Rhinolophus ferrumequinum: one gene and its partner. The protein of the gene in region 2 binds, or shares a complex with, the protein of the main gene of each other region. Links are inferred from orthologs where the notes say so. Each region holds a gene or a part of one and is shown on either strand. Other genes may lie near its edges.

Region 1 (7,493 bases), on a different chromosome or scaffold from region 2:
CCAGAATAAAACCCCTCCAGTAAGAAAAGAACACACTTTCCTTCCTTGGATCCCAAGCCATAGTGATCATTTTAAACTGTATAATTCAGAATACCCCCTACCCCACGCAGACAACTCCTGATATGAGGCAGAGAAATCTAGTCATTGGCAAAGAACACACTGTCCATTAGCATGAGTCAAAAAGCAAAGCTACCCACAAAGATTCCTAAAAACAGAACCAGCCCTTTTGACTCCTCTCAGTCACTCCCAAAGTTCAGCTAAAAGTTACACTTGCCACCAGAATGAAGCAGTACATATATTGAAAGGCCTAGTCTTAGACAGGCCTGGTGAAAACAGGCTGGAAAATGCAAGAAAAGAAAATGACACAAAAGTCTTTCTTTAAAAAAATGTCATCATTTATTTCTTGATTTCAATGATAAAACGCATGCATAACTACCGTCTACTGAGGCTAAATTTAAGGAAGAGGTTTATGCTCAACAAGAATGGCTACTCAATTTGATTGTTAAATATTCACATGTGGTCAAACTACAAAGCTATCAAAAGGGCAGCAACTTCTCATTTCACCTAAGTCTGCCCACAGTAAATGCCATGTTGTACCTGTGTGTGTGCCCGTTTTGTTTGTGTGTATTTTTTTTTTTTAATGACACCTGGTGCCTGACCTTGAGTAGCCCAGGCAGTAAATTTTGTTCTAGGACAAAGTCAGAACCTGATCTTATGATTGTAATTAGACTGGAAGCTCCTACTGCCCTCCAAATCACCAGCACCTTTGTATAAGTGCCTGACAGGCTACTCAGAAAATGTCTGTTGACAATTCGAATAATACAGAAACCAAACTCCCTAAGTCTACTTCAAGGGATCTGAATGGCTCTCAAGTTTTTTGGGGTTTTTTTTGACACTTTTGCCCTAAGAAAAAAAGGATTCTGTTATCAGAAAATTATCTTCTCAGTCCTTAATCTTTCAAATGAATGAATATGCTTCTTAGTCAAGGGAAATCTCAAGTTCTCAAATTTACCCCTGCTCTTAAAATAATGAGGAAGAATCCTAAATAGGAAAACAACATTGCATTTGAACTAGAGAAGCACTAAAATGTGAGCTCTGAAGTTACTCGGACTGCTGTAAAGTAGGGTTTCTCAATCCCCGCACTAGTGACATTTTGGGCCAGACAACTCTTTGTTGTGGGGGGCTGTCCTGTGCATTTTAAGTCATTGAGCAGATCTCTGGCCTCTACCCACTAGAAGCCAGCAGCACTCACTCTCAGGTGTGAACCAAAAATGCCTGCTGACATTATCAAAAGTCCCCTGCTTTGAATCCTGGTCTGCCCTGTGTGACTATGGGAAACAGACTGAACCCTCCTGTGCCCCAGCAAATTCCTCATCTGTAAAATGGACTAATGCCTCAGAAATGCTGTGAAAATTAAATAAAATTATGTATGTACAGGATTTACATGGACAGAACATCCAGTGCCAGTGTAGCTGCCCAAGAAATGGTTAAGATATTAGGGGAGGCTAAAAATGAACTTCTAAAACCAAACGAACTTAATTTCAGGCCACCAGAGTACTGTAGCCTACACGGTTAGAAGCAGCTGAGATAGAAAGAGAAAAGAAGAAGTAGGAAAAGAGGGAACAGCACTCAAGTATCTCCCTGATCTCCAAGAACCCAGCTTGGAATCAAGGCCAAAGATGTTCTACTTAGGTTTCACTGGTCCACTCCAACCTCACAAATGATAAGCCAAAAATATCCTCACATCACAAAACTCTCCAAAATAAATGTCATCAAGCCAGAAACATTTTAGTATAAGCAAGAGAAATGTACTACAATGTCTACACAAAGACACTGAAAGCACCAGACTGCCCCCCCCACCATTGTCTTAGATTTGGGAATCTAAGATACTAAGAGTTCTGGACAAGCCGTTGTAACTTCAACATAAGCTTCTAAAAGAAAAATTAAGAACAGTCTCTTAAACACCCCTGACTGAAGAGTTCTGGGTTTCCTTCATCTCTACAGTTTTGCTCCACTGACCAGTTTTTGAGATTACAGGCAATTTAGGGATTTTTCCATAACCATGGTGCCAGAGACTGAAGGATAAACAAGTAAAAAAAATGTTTTTTAATTTTAAAAAAGCAATCAGATTCTGTCCATTGCTTTCATCAGGACGCTGAAATCCTATAAAACGAATGTGGTCACGTGACAATTTGCAAACTAGCAGAAAAGTCATTCCTCAAAAGAACCGTGGTCACGGGATGTGTCATCACTTAAAAAGAAACAACAAAACTAACACCTCCACAACGACTTGGTCAGCACTTAAAATTCTCATCTTGCCTCTTTACATAGTTAAGTTGGAAGAAAGGAAGGAACGCGCGATTCGGAAACATTAGCCAGCCTGAATCAGGTAACGCCCCAAACCTCCTCCAGCCCCCAGGACTGGCTGTACATTCCCAACCCCTCACCCGAGTGCTCGTAACACATTAGCAAGGGTCCACCGAGGGAGCGAGTCAGAAGTCGCCAACATCAACTCGTGCCTTTGCTTTCTCTACAGGAACCACTCGGGGGCGGGTTTGGTCTGGGTGGGCTGGGGTGTGTGGGTGTGTGCCCCGAGTGGTTGGGGGAAAGGCTGGTGTATGTGTCTGTCCCCGGGGGTTGTGCGTGTGCCTCTCTCCCTCCCGGGATTGTGTATATGTATCTCCCTCCCTGGGTGTTTGGGGGTGTGTGTCCCTCCCCGGTGTGTGCGTGTGGGAACCCGTCTTTCCTGCGTCAGTCAGGAGGAGGTAGGGGGGCAACAAGCCGTCCCCCTCCCGGGGCCGGCGAGTGGCCCGCGCAGGCCCCGCGTGCACCCCGCCCAGCTAGCTGCCCGAGGCCCAGGCATTACCCGCCGCCCGCGCGTTCACCTCAGACCCCGAAGCCAGCGGACCCAGCCCCGGCCCCGGCCCCGGCCCCGGCCCCGGCCTCCGGCCCCAGCACCTGGCCCCCGGCCAAGCCCGAGAGTCCGAGCCCCGCTCACCTCGCGGCCACACGGCGGACGTCCGGGAGCTCCGGGCTAGCCGGTCCAGGTGCAATGAGGAAACAGAGAGGGTCGGGGTTTCTGCGGGATGGACAAGGTAGCAGCGCAGCCCGAATGCAACTCCGGCTGCTCCCGCCTAGCGCTGAGGCAACAATATGGCGACGGGCAGGGGCGGGCCCTGGAGGTGGTGCGGGGCCTGGGAGGTGGTGCGGGGCCTGGGACGCGGGGCGGGGCCTGGGACGCGGGGCGGGGCCTGGGACGCGGGGCGGGGCCCGGGTAATTGGGGTCTCGAGGTGGCTGTCTGCCCCTGCCTCGCCCAATCCCCGACTGCTGTTCCTTGCTAAACCAAGGTCTTTCTTGCGGCCGGCTCTCCCTCGTGTCCTCCGGCTGCCTTCCGGTGAGAGAGGGCACGACATAATACTTATTATCTTTGTTTACGTAAACTGGGAAGAAACCCATCGCGTAAGCACAAACACAGGATGTTGTGATTACGATGAGAAAGCGAATGCGCAAAAAGCAAACCGGTAGATGAAAAATGAAAACAGCTGTGATTTGAGGACTAAAAGAATTAAATTTAAAAATTTTTCTTATTCAGAATTGTACACCTGGAATCTATGTAATTTTACTAACAATTGTCACCCCAATAAATTAAAAAAAATTTTTCTTGTTACAATACTGGCTCTGTTATCTAAATATAAAGCAGTAATGGGAAAAGGCGGTATTGGGGAAGCTATTTTTTTTTTTAAAGATTTTATTGGGGAAGGGGAACAGGACTTTATTGGGGAACAGTGTGTACTTCCAGGACTTTTTTTTTTTTCCAAGTCAAGTTGTCCTTTCAATCTTAGTTGTGGAGGGTGCTGTTCAGCTTCAAGTTGTCCTTTCAATCTTAGTTGTGGAGGGCGCAGCTCAGCTCCAGGTCCAGCTGCTGTTGCTAGTTGCAGGGGGCGCAGCCCACCATCCCTTGCAGGACTCGAGGAATCGAACTGGCAACCTTGTGGTTGAGAGGATGCACTCCAACCAACTGAGCCATCCGGGAGCTCAGCGGCAGCTCAGCTCAAGGTGCCTTGTTCAATTTTAGTTATAGGGGGCGCTGCCCACCATCCCTTGCGGGAGTCGAGGAATTGAACTGGCAGCCTTGTAGTTGAGAGCCTATTGGCCCATGTGGGAATCGAATCGGCAGCCTTCAGAGTTAGGAGCACAGAGCTCTAACCGCCTGAGCCACCGGGCCGGCCCCATGGGGAAGCTATTCTTAATTACTGATACGGAGTTGAGTGCCTGGGTCTTCCGATACAAGACCCCTGGAGACCGAAGGGGCTTTTAGTAACCTCAATATATTTTGTGGGGTACATTTAGTTTGTTTATTTTCCAAGAGAAAGATCTCACGTTTATGAGTTGCTAGGTAATCATCATTAAATAACCTCTGGCTCTTCAGGGAGTCATTTTCAGGTAATGAATCCAATGCAGTCTTTTCATTCAGCACTGGAAAGGTTATGTTTGAGTTTCTCGCAAATATAAAAGACAGTTTTAGAATACTTGTGAAAATTAGGCATGTAAAAAAGATTGAGTTCTAGTTTGAGTTTAAATGAATTTTTCTTTTATCCATGCAGGATATTTCCCCAAGGAAATATGAGTAAAGGTTTATAAAATACAGATCTGTTGAAAATAAGGAGGGGGAAGAGATATCCATTATCTAATTTTAAAACACATAATAATTAAAATTACACAATAAAACATATAAGAACATTACAGTGAATTTTCCAAAAGAAAAAAAATACATAGTGTCATGTACATAGAACTAAAATGCAACAAGCAATGCCCAGGGTCACTAAGGAAAAGCCACCTGAAAATTGTATCTCAATCATAATCAAACAGTGATGGAATAGGAATTGATCTCTTCAACTGCTAATACAAACCAGCTATTAACAAGTGCTCTTACAAAATTATTGTATCTTGGCTTAAAGTAAGCCTTGAGAAATCCAAGAGTTTTCAAAAACAGGTTCTTAGAAGGTCCTACAAGTGATTCTTAGGCTGTTCCAAAATGTAAGCGAAGCATGCAAACATATCTGAGTGTAGCTTATAGTCAGCACCTGAAGAAAGAATAAGGAAAGTTACTTTTTCTGAGATATTACTTGGTCACTAGCCAACTGACACTTAAGAATATTCATATATTCTGTCTGGTCTCTTCCACCATTCACTTCTTTACCTAACTGATCTGACAGTGCAAGAGTAGTTTGGGTCAAAAGGTTTTTCCCTAAAGGGCAAGTTTGGGGGATTTTTATTGTGGAATGTGTGTGGTTGGCAAGCTGACACAAGTGAGATAGATGGTCTCTATCTCCCTTCCTCCATGAACTTGTTTACTGATGAAACCATTGAAGAACTGACCTAGTTTGACTCCCTTCATCTAATTAGGACTTTTTGTCTTTATGTTCTGTAAACATCTAAAGCATCACTCATGAAGGAAAAAGAGGTTAAGGTTGCTAGGCATTAATGATTCCTTAAATGACATCTATTCATTTAGTACTATGAGCAGTGGGAGTCAATACTCCATTTCAAGCTGGAGTCTGAAAGACATCACCTCTGGTACCTCTGATGAAAAGCTACAAGTGGGCTCCAGACTCAAGTATAATAAATACTTATTATAATTAAATTGATTACAGGCATACCTCGTTTTATTGGGCTTCACTTTATTGTGCTTCACAGATGTTGTGTGTTTTACGAATTGAATGTAAGACCCCCTCCCCCAGCAAAAAGATTACGTCTCGCTTTATTGTAATACTCGCTTTCTCATGGTCTGGAACCGAACCTGAAATATCTCCAGGCGTATCTGTATACTTTTTACATACAAGGAAAAACACAGAACTCAATGGTAGGCAATTTGACCATTACATGACATATTTAAATCATCAGAAATTTGATATTTTTCCCAAGTCATTGGCCAAAATAGAGATTTGTCCTCAATATTGCATAGATGTTCTTGTATAGCTATACTAAGAAGGGAGAAAAGCATAAAATGTAATTCAGAATCCATTATATTTTACTTTAAGGGAAAGTCAGAGTGAAACTAGATAACAACATATAATATTAAGTGAAAAAACATTACCAAATAATATGTGGAGGAAAATCCCAATTTGGGGGAGGAAACATTTCTCGTATAACTTTTCAATATACCGGGGGTACCACAAAAATGTATACACATTTTAAGAGATGTTATCTATGTATTACTTTTCGAAGTTGAATTGAATTACGTAGCAATGTGTAGTATGACGTTCGCTCAAAAGATGGCGTGAATCAAATGAATGCTAGCATCATTCATTGTAGTATAATTTTAATAGTTTTTTCCTTAAAATGTGTATACAGGGTCGGCCGGATGGCTCAGTTGGTTAGAGCACAAGCTCTTAACAAGGTTGCCAGTTCAATTCCCGCATGGGATGGTGGGCTGCGCCCCCTGCAACTAAGATTGAAAACGGTGACTGGACTTGGAGCTGAGCTGCGCCCTCCACAACTGGATTGAAGGACAACGACTTGGAATTGATGGGCCCTGGAGAAACACACTGTTCTCCAATAAAAAAAAATTTTTTTTAAATGTGTATACATTTTTTGGGAACCCTCTGTATATTGAAATATTTATCTAATATATTTATTTATATGTATTTACATATTTATATAATATATACATTTTCAGTATTTCAAATCAATATCACATTCTTCCAGTTTGCCTAGAAACTAAATTCAGCATGTTTCTTACATTAATGCAGAACTATTGATCCCAATCCTTAGGTCAGATAAAATTTCAGTATATGAGGAAATACCAGAAATCTGATTTCTTCACTGCGTAGCTTAAAAAGGAGTACTGAATCAAAAAGTGAATGGTAGCATCATCCTTAATCTATATATCATCAATGAGCAAATTGCGTAATTTGCAATCTTTAGATTGATGCGATCAAATGCAAAGTCTGACCCACATCCATGATAGATCATATACTCTTGCATGGGTCCAGTGGTTGATGATGAATGGCCACCTGGGAATCCAAAGCCACTGCCATGCTTCCTTCCATCAGTCTGCCCACTGTCAGGAGATGGAGCATGGAGTCAGGAGCTAACACAACCGGCCCCTCCCAAATGTGTGGGTAACCACCATAGCAGCCCACACTTTGCCATTGCCTGCAGCATAGACTCACGTTTATTCTGTCTCCTTGGGTGGTTTTACGATTTGCAGGAAATGAAAAGTCACTTCATGTTAATATTTATTCAACAAATATACAGTGAGCGTGCACACTGTGCCAGGTCCTGAGGATACAGTGGTAGATAAGACACGGGAAGAATTCAAGGGGTGTCCCTAAGCACCCTCCCCACATTTTTATTCCACCAGCTGTGTATATATCATATGACCTTCCCTTGGTGAATAAGATAGATTCAGTCCCTTTCCTAGGAGAGCTCAGAAGAGCAGAGGAGACATTTAATGAGCAACTTAACAACTTGGATAAAGGGCTTTGAA
Region 2 (7,342 bases):
CTATCGTAAAATAAAATCCATTTCATATTTTCTTCTGATTTGCTTCTACAATGTGGATTTTATCTTTGGAATCTGTGACTTTAATGAGAAACACATCTTCCCAAAATGTTAACATTAAATATTTAAAGCATCTCCTGTGACTTAGAGTAGAAGTACAGGAGTTAAAAAATGATGCTCTCGTTGAATCAGGAGTTACAATACTGTGCAATAAGGAGTCATATAAGCAGGACACGAGGGGAAACTCAGCCGACTCCAGGCAGACAGACCGCCCTGCACCAAATGGACCTCTCATCTATTTGCATTAGGAACTTGCTAGGTCCTTAGTCTTGCACATAGTTACCGTTTGGGGACTAAGTGGCAACGTCTGCTCGGGACCCGAAAAGCAATTAGAGAATTTCCAAAGCCATGGCTTAGCGTCATTATCTTGTTGAAGCCATCCAGGTGTTCTACTGCAGGAGTTCTCAGTTCCGTTTCCTTCCATCATACAGCCACACAAAGTGGTTCAACATGCTTTCATCTTTCTTTTCTTTCATTCTTCCACCCTGTTAAGTAAGAGAGATTTCATTGTTAGTTATATGCATAAGTACAAAGTTTACTATTAAAATGTGAGTCTGCAACTGTATTTATGGTGCAATGGCTCCCAACAAGTCAGATCTTAAGGAACTAAAGTAGAATGGCTATCAAAGCATACTATAGGTTACTAAAATTTGGTAAACCTAGTTGACTGTTTATGTTTGAACTCTAACTGTGTCAACCGCATTTTTAAAAAACTATACTCTTCCATTCCTCATGTTCCATTGTTCTTCAAATAGAAAGGAACTCTGGATGAGACCTATTTCTTTCTATAAACAGCCATGCTTGACAGAAGTAGCCAAATCTTGGACACCTGCATATCCCTGAGTGTAACCGCTCCTCTTCACATGGCTGGAGCCAACCTCCAGCCCTGAGTTGACTTTTGCTATAGTTTTTCCTAATTCTTATCGACTCTCTCTCCCTAAAGACTCTACTTGTGAGAGTAAAAATATTAACAGTAGAGAAGATGTAATTTTGGTCAACGAACAACCACATGTCCTCATTACCAATTACGTTAAGATTTTGACATTGGTTTAAGAGCAGCTTATCCCAGTGTCTTTGACATGAGCACAGAGGGTTCAACTAAGTGACCTCTGTGGACTTTGAATTTGATTGTGTTACAGAACAAATCAAACCAAGTTCTATTTACTTATTATGACAGTGGAGTCTGGTATACCACCACAAATCTAACAGAGAAATCTCAAGTCCCAGATGTACTGTATCTACTCCGAGGCAGCTACACTTAAACAGTACAGTAAGAGCAGAGCAAATCAATAATAGCCATTGGGCATGGAGGCAGCCTGCCAAGGGCAAGGACAACCGAATCCCACTTCCAAGTCTTCCAACAACCACCCACTCTTACCTACCGTGGCCATCTTAAGGTTATCAATTTATGTTTCAGAAATTTACTCTGGGCCTCTAGAAAAGAATTTCTTTTAGTTATCTCTCTGATGAGATGCTGTTTTCAAGTGGTTTAATGTCCACATAGTAAGGTGAGGGGCAAGATGACCATGCAAGAATATATATATGTAAGAGCTGATTGTATAAAGCAGGGGTGGGCAAAACCAGCCCTCTGCTTGTACCTAAATGACCTTCAAGCTAAGAATGTATTTTACATTTTTTAAAAATTATTAGAAAAAAATTAAAATGTTTTATGACACAAGATTATATGAAATTCAAATTTCAGTGTCTATAAATAGTTTATCAAGACATGGCCACAGTCACTTGTTTTAAGTACTGTCTGTGGCTTGTTTTTGCACTACAATTACAGAGCAGAGTATTTGCAACAGAGACTTACATGGTCCACAAAGCCTAAAATATTTACTATTTGGCCCTTATGCTGAAGCCACAAAACTTCATTAAATGTTGGTTTCTTCCTCTGGAAAGTGTGGCTGATTCTTCTCCTGTCCCCTCTCACAACATTATTGAGAGGGGAAAAAAACTTAGATAAAGGAGCCGACCACCTGTTTGTTTTCACCACTGTATTGCCTGTGCCAAGCACAGGGCCTGGCTACTTAGAAGAGACTAAGTAAATATTTGCTGATAAGGGAATGAATAAAGCTGTTTACCTAGTATAGGAGTATACAGTTAGGAGTTAATTGGGATACACAGATGGAGTTTACTGCCACAATGTTAATAAATCATGGTACTTGTTTTTCCTATTAAATACAGGTCTTATATCTCCCCACAATCTCTTCTAGATCATGAGAATTTGTGATGTGCAACAGGCTCTCGCAAACCTCTTCAAGGCCAATCCTGAAAGTGTGCTGACAGGTAGAGTACAATATAGTTTACTAAACATTGTTCTTTAACACTTATAAATTCAGCAAATGTTTACTTAGTATCAACTATGTGGCAGGCCTGTGCTTGGCACAGGGATACAATGATGAAAATGACCAGACAATGATATCCATTTTATGTAACTTTTTTTCCACAGTAAATCTGAGATAGACAAGAGAGCAACTGGCCACATCTTAAACAGAGAAGGAAACAGAGTTTTGTAACTTGCCCCATATCACACAATTAGAAAGGAGGCAGAACCAGGTCTGTCCACCTCTTTCTACCACACCAAGGTGACTTCACTATTGCTCAACAGTTAACAGAAAGTACAAATAAATGTACTATTAACTTGTTAGTGACCTGCACCTGGAAAATTTTCCCAAACATTCCTGGGAATGCCACTAAGGGACTTAGGTAGCCAAAGCGAGTTTGGTTTGAGTGGAAGTCTTACTTCTGCCATCATCTCTCAGTCTTTGAGCAATTAATGGTTGAGAGCAGACTCTGAAGTCAGACTGGCTTGCCTGTTGATCCCCATTTCTGCCGCTTCCTATCTGTGCAGCTTTGGATAACTCACAAACTCTCCCAACCTCAGTTCCCATCTGTAAAATGGGCCTGATAACAACAGTAGCACCCTTATAGGGCTGTTGCTTGGATTAAAAGAGATAATCGAAGTAGAAACTTTAGCAGTGGCCTCCTCTTAACACCCAATCTAGTCCTCAAAGGCTACCCCACCACATCCCACCTCACAGCTCTTTTATCTAAAATTATCTTGTTTATTTGCTTGTTTTTTATTATCTGCTTCCCCCACTTGAATATAAACTCCGTGACATCAGGGATCATTTGCTCTTACTCATTTTTGTATCCCCTGCCTCTAGCACAGTGCCTGGCACTTATCAATAATTGTTGAACGAATGAAGAGTTCAATAAATATCTAGTAAGACCATTTAAATTAGGTTTCAATTTTTACCTTTCAAAGATGTTGGGAAGTCCAAAAGACACAAATGTAACTGGAAAGCTCTCGGTAATACCACAAAGGTGCTTGGGAAACTCTTAAAAGGTATCAAGGTGTCGCGTTACAATTAGTAGTGGGAGTGGCTTAACCCCTACGAAAACTCAACACTATCTGTCAAACCAGACGCTACACCGTAGAGTGCTGGAAAACTGAGGATGCAAAAAGCTCAGCGGGGGTGCAAAAGCACCCGCCCCGTCTTCCTCTCTTAACCTTCCAATTGTGCTTTCCACACCGGGAGGGCCCACAGGGAGCAGGGAGACAGGTGCGGACGGCGAGCCAAACACCCCACCTCCCAAAAAAGGCAGCAGGGGCGCAGCAGTCACAGTCTTGAGCGGACGTGAAAGGGAGACAACCTGAACCTTTAGTGGGAGCCTGACTGGTTGGCCCCAGTCCTTCCCCTAGGACTGGTCAACCTCCCCTACCCCCTCCAGCAATAGGCAGAGGAAGGGGGGGCACTGTCTCCCCGACAGCCTGGCGGTCCCAGAGCAGTGGGCCATTCAAGAACTAGTTCCCAGAGCTGCCAGCACACTCACCTCAGCCGCCAGCTCCACCTCGGCTCACATTCCGGCCCCACCGCCTTCCCCCCGCCCCCCCAGGCCCTTTGTTTTGATTCCCGACTCCGCCGCTCCCGCCGCCGCCGCCAAGCGCACCCTCAACTTCCGCTTCCGCACCGCACCACCCCTGTCGCAAAACCGACGCCCTTCTCTCCCTCTCGCCCCGCCCCTTCCTCCACCCCTCCCCCGCCGCCGCGTCCTCCCCGCGCGGGGCGTGCTGGGAACCCGGGGGGGGCGGGGCCTCGCGGCCCTGCAGCCTCGTCAGGCTCAGTCCCCTCCCGATAAACCCCTAAATAGGGACCTTCCCGGGGGGCGACCCCGGCTTTTTTGGCAGAACCCCCAAGTTTAAGAAGGTCTTCCTCCTGGCTTATAGTTGTGGAGTGGAAAGGAACCTGAAAGCGGAGAATTCGGGAGCTTGTGAGGTGGAACCCGGGGAAAAACCTGCCAACCAGGATTTGGTACAATTCAGTTCTTTCGATCTTTTGAGGGAAAGCGACTTAAACGGGATGTCGATGAAAAACCATCGTTTTGCCTTTCTCCTCTCTCTGTCTGTCTCTCTGTCTCTCTCTCTGTCACACACACACACACACACACACACACACACACACACACATCTTGTCACGTGATTCTTTTTTTTTTTTTAATTAAATGACGCATGTTTTCCACACCATCCTTAATCTAGTGCAACCTAGTGGCGAGTGGAGAAAAAAAAAACTGCCAACTGAGCTGACCGCCAGGTCCTTCCGGCCCTCAGGGTTTCTCGCATAGTTACGACCCAGCTGGCAAAGATAAAGTGGGAGAACTAAGACGAGGCTGGATGTTGTCACCGACAATTAAGAGGTCCTCGTGTCTTTTGTAAGATAAACTAATTTTTAAAAGCCCTGCTCCAAAGCTCCTTAAAAAAGAACACAACTTTTCTAGTGACAGGTTGGGCGAGCAGAAAGGAGACCTTAATAATTGAAAAAGCCTTGTGAAGCCAAGCACAGCTTTTATTTTAGGTGGATAGATATGCCACGTTTGGGTTTTGTTTTGTTTTGTTTTTCTTTGCCTCACAATCTACTTTTACCTAAAATTAAGAAAATACACAACAATTTTTTTTTTAACTCACTAGGCACAATTATCATTTGTGAAACTGCCAGCTGCTCACTATTTCCTGTTGCAAATTAGGAGACAAACAAAGCATATAGAGCTACCTGTGAATCTAGACATAGTTTAGGATGTGCTATCTGAATACTATGGAAAAGTTTACTTCTGAAGTTTGACAAGAAACAGGTTCACTTTGCCAAAGAGTCAGCAACTAGAGATGGCCCAAAGAACTTTTTTCCCCCTGCAGTCTGCAGTGTGAGGCAATTTCATCAGGCAATTTGCAGTAAGTGGGGTGAATTTCAGGGGAAGCTAATCCATCCCTATAGACATCCTTGTAGAGGTGTTGTGGAGGGCAAGATCAAACACGTAGCTGAAGAATCCTTTGTGATTGAATTACATTTTCCAGTACGCAGATGACAAGTACACACACATCATCTGCTTGCTTAGGTATTTATTACTTCTGAGTAAATCTTCATTGGATCTGTGTGTGGGGAGGATTTTCCAAGTGGGAATTAGAACAGATGGAAAAGCAACCCTGTTTCTTGCGTTTTTTTTTTTTTTCCAAAGTACCAAACCAATGTGCTTCTCTTTAGGGGTGTTTTTCTTTCTCTTTTTTTTTTCTAGTGGAGTATCTCTGAACATAGACCACAGTAACTAAAAATATAAAAAAGGAAACAAAATAATTGTGGGTTTTTTCATTGCTTTTTTAAAAAGAGGGTTTAGCCACAAAACATTAATAAAGAAAGAGCAAACACATTTTGTTTGAGTTTGCTTGGCATTCTTTCAAGTCCAGAGCTGTGCCTGGTCTCAACAGGTTAAATGCAGTAAATGAAAATGAATCAATCATACAAAATGGAAAGCAAACGAAAAGTCTAAATTACAAATAATTTTTAAAGAAATGCAATTTTTTTTTTTTTTTTGTAGAAAACTAGCCTGAGCAGAGTACACTAGCCCTTGGAAGCAGGTAATTATGAATCAAAATACAATTTGATCTTTATGAAAGAGTGCTTTAACCTTTTTAAGATATATTTTCTTAAGCATAGCCTCTGTTAATCTTGTTCCTATTTCTTTGCTGGGCAAACTCTTTTCTCAGAGAGTAAGAGTAAGTTTCAGTATTTTCCTTATCCAAATTATAATCTTCATATTTATGAAACCAGGATGTAGATTGATTTTTGTGCTGTTTAAGCAGCTACTTTACATTCAATTCAGCTCCTAAATTAATCTGGCTGCCACCAAAGGAGTTTCTCCCCGATTAACTTCTGTCTATGTTAGGTTAGATTTAATGTCTTGAAATGATAAGTTATGAAAGAAGGATTTAAGAGAAACCGAGCTTTGCTCATTCATACCTGAATGCTACAAGGAAACTAAATTGAATAAAGAGAGGATAATGTGTTCAAGTACCAAAATTTCCCATTCGTTTTTAAGGTTTTACCTAATGATATTTACCTAAACTCCTATTCCTGAAGAATATTTTAACGACAATCATTTCAATGTCCTCTCCCCTTTTTCAAATGGAAAATGAAATTGAAAAACCAACTAGTTTCAATGACTTGTGTCATTTAGTCAGGACTGGTACCTCATCAATTCGTGCTTCAGTTCATCTGTAAACTTGGGTGATAATTCCCGGTCCAGAAACCTCCCAGGATGGTGAGGGTCAATAAAATTCGGGAGTGAAAGAAAGCATAAAAGCAAAAATGTCAAGAGAATACAAATGATTTATTAGTGTTTAGTATCTGGGACCCGGATGGAAGTTTCCCGAAAGACATTTGGGTACTTTCCTTAAAACTGTTGATGTAGGTGGTGGTTCCCTTTTGCGTCTTTGAGCTTCAGGAACTAGCAAAGAGTCAAAGTAGAATTAGAGAAAAGTCATTCTTAATCTTGGCAGGGAGGCAGCAGGGATTCTGAGTATGGTTGAAATCCTGAGTAGCTGAGATCCCTGTGTGTCGAGGTTAAGTGCTGAAGAACACGTGTGGAGAACTCAAGCCGACCCAGCTTTAAAGCCTGATTTAAGAAATAAGACCTTGGGCAATGCATTCAACTTCCCGCACCTTAGTTTTCTCTGCTTTCAAATGAGGACAATAAAAGTGCTTTCCTGTGGTTCTCATCATTTTGGTCTCAGCTCTGTTGTCATTTCCTAGAGTGGCCTTCCCTGACTATTTTCTCTGAAGTGACTCCTCCCCAGCCCCTTTCTAACACAGGACCTTGCTTTTATTCATAGCACTTATTGAAGTCTGAAAATCGTTTTAACTTTTTGTTTGCTGGTTTAGTGCGTTTCTGTGTTAATACTGTAAGCTCTTTGAGGACAGGCATCTTGTCTGACATTTATTTTGTTATAAGC

The links.
Region 1: the proteins of NDE1 (region 2) and RAB9A are in contact, whole or in part, in a crystal structure (PDB 7E1T), measured with the Homo sapiens proteins. The link is inferred for Rhinolophus ferrumequinum from reciprocal best matches to the Homo sapiens genes NDE1 and RAB9A. Residues at the interface, in NP_001137451.1 of Homo sapiens: Asp99, Gln102, Thr103, Ala105, Ile106, Gln109, Leu110, Tyr113; in NP_001182257.1 of Homo sapiens: Ile40, Val42, Phe44, Asn46, Gln59, Trp61, Arg68, Phe69, Ser71, Leu72, Pro75, Phe76.

The regions. Positions count from the first base shown.
Region 1 is NC_046284.1:116,493,469-116,500,961, forward strand, and holds the start of RAB9A (ras-related protein Rab-9A), read right to left. Parts: upstream 3,178-7,493; 5' UTR 2,999-3,177; intron 1-2,998. UniProt on the Homo sapiens protein: The small GTPases Rab are key regulators of intracellular membrane trafficking, from the formation of transport vesicles to their fusion with membranes.
Region 2 is NW_022680357.1:13,404,293-13,411,634, forward strand, and holds the start of NDE1 (nuclear distribution protein nudE homolog 1), read left to right. Parts: upstream 1-4,169; 5' UTR 4,170-4,376; intron 4,377-5,928; 5' UTR 5,929-5,968; intron 5,969-7,342. Other genes in the region: MARF1 (meiosis regulator and mRNA stability factor 1), read right to left, coding at 341-484. UniProt on the Homo sapiens protein: Required for centrosome duplication and formation and function of the mitotic spindle. Essential for the development of the cerebral cortex.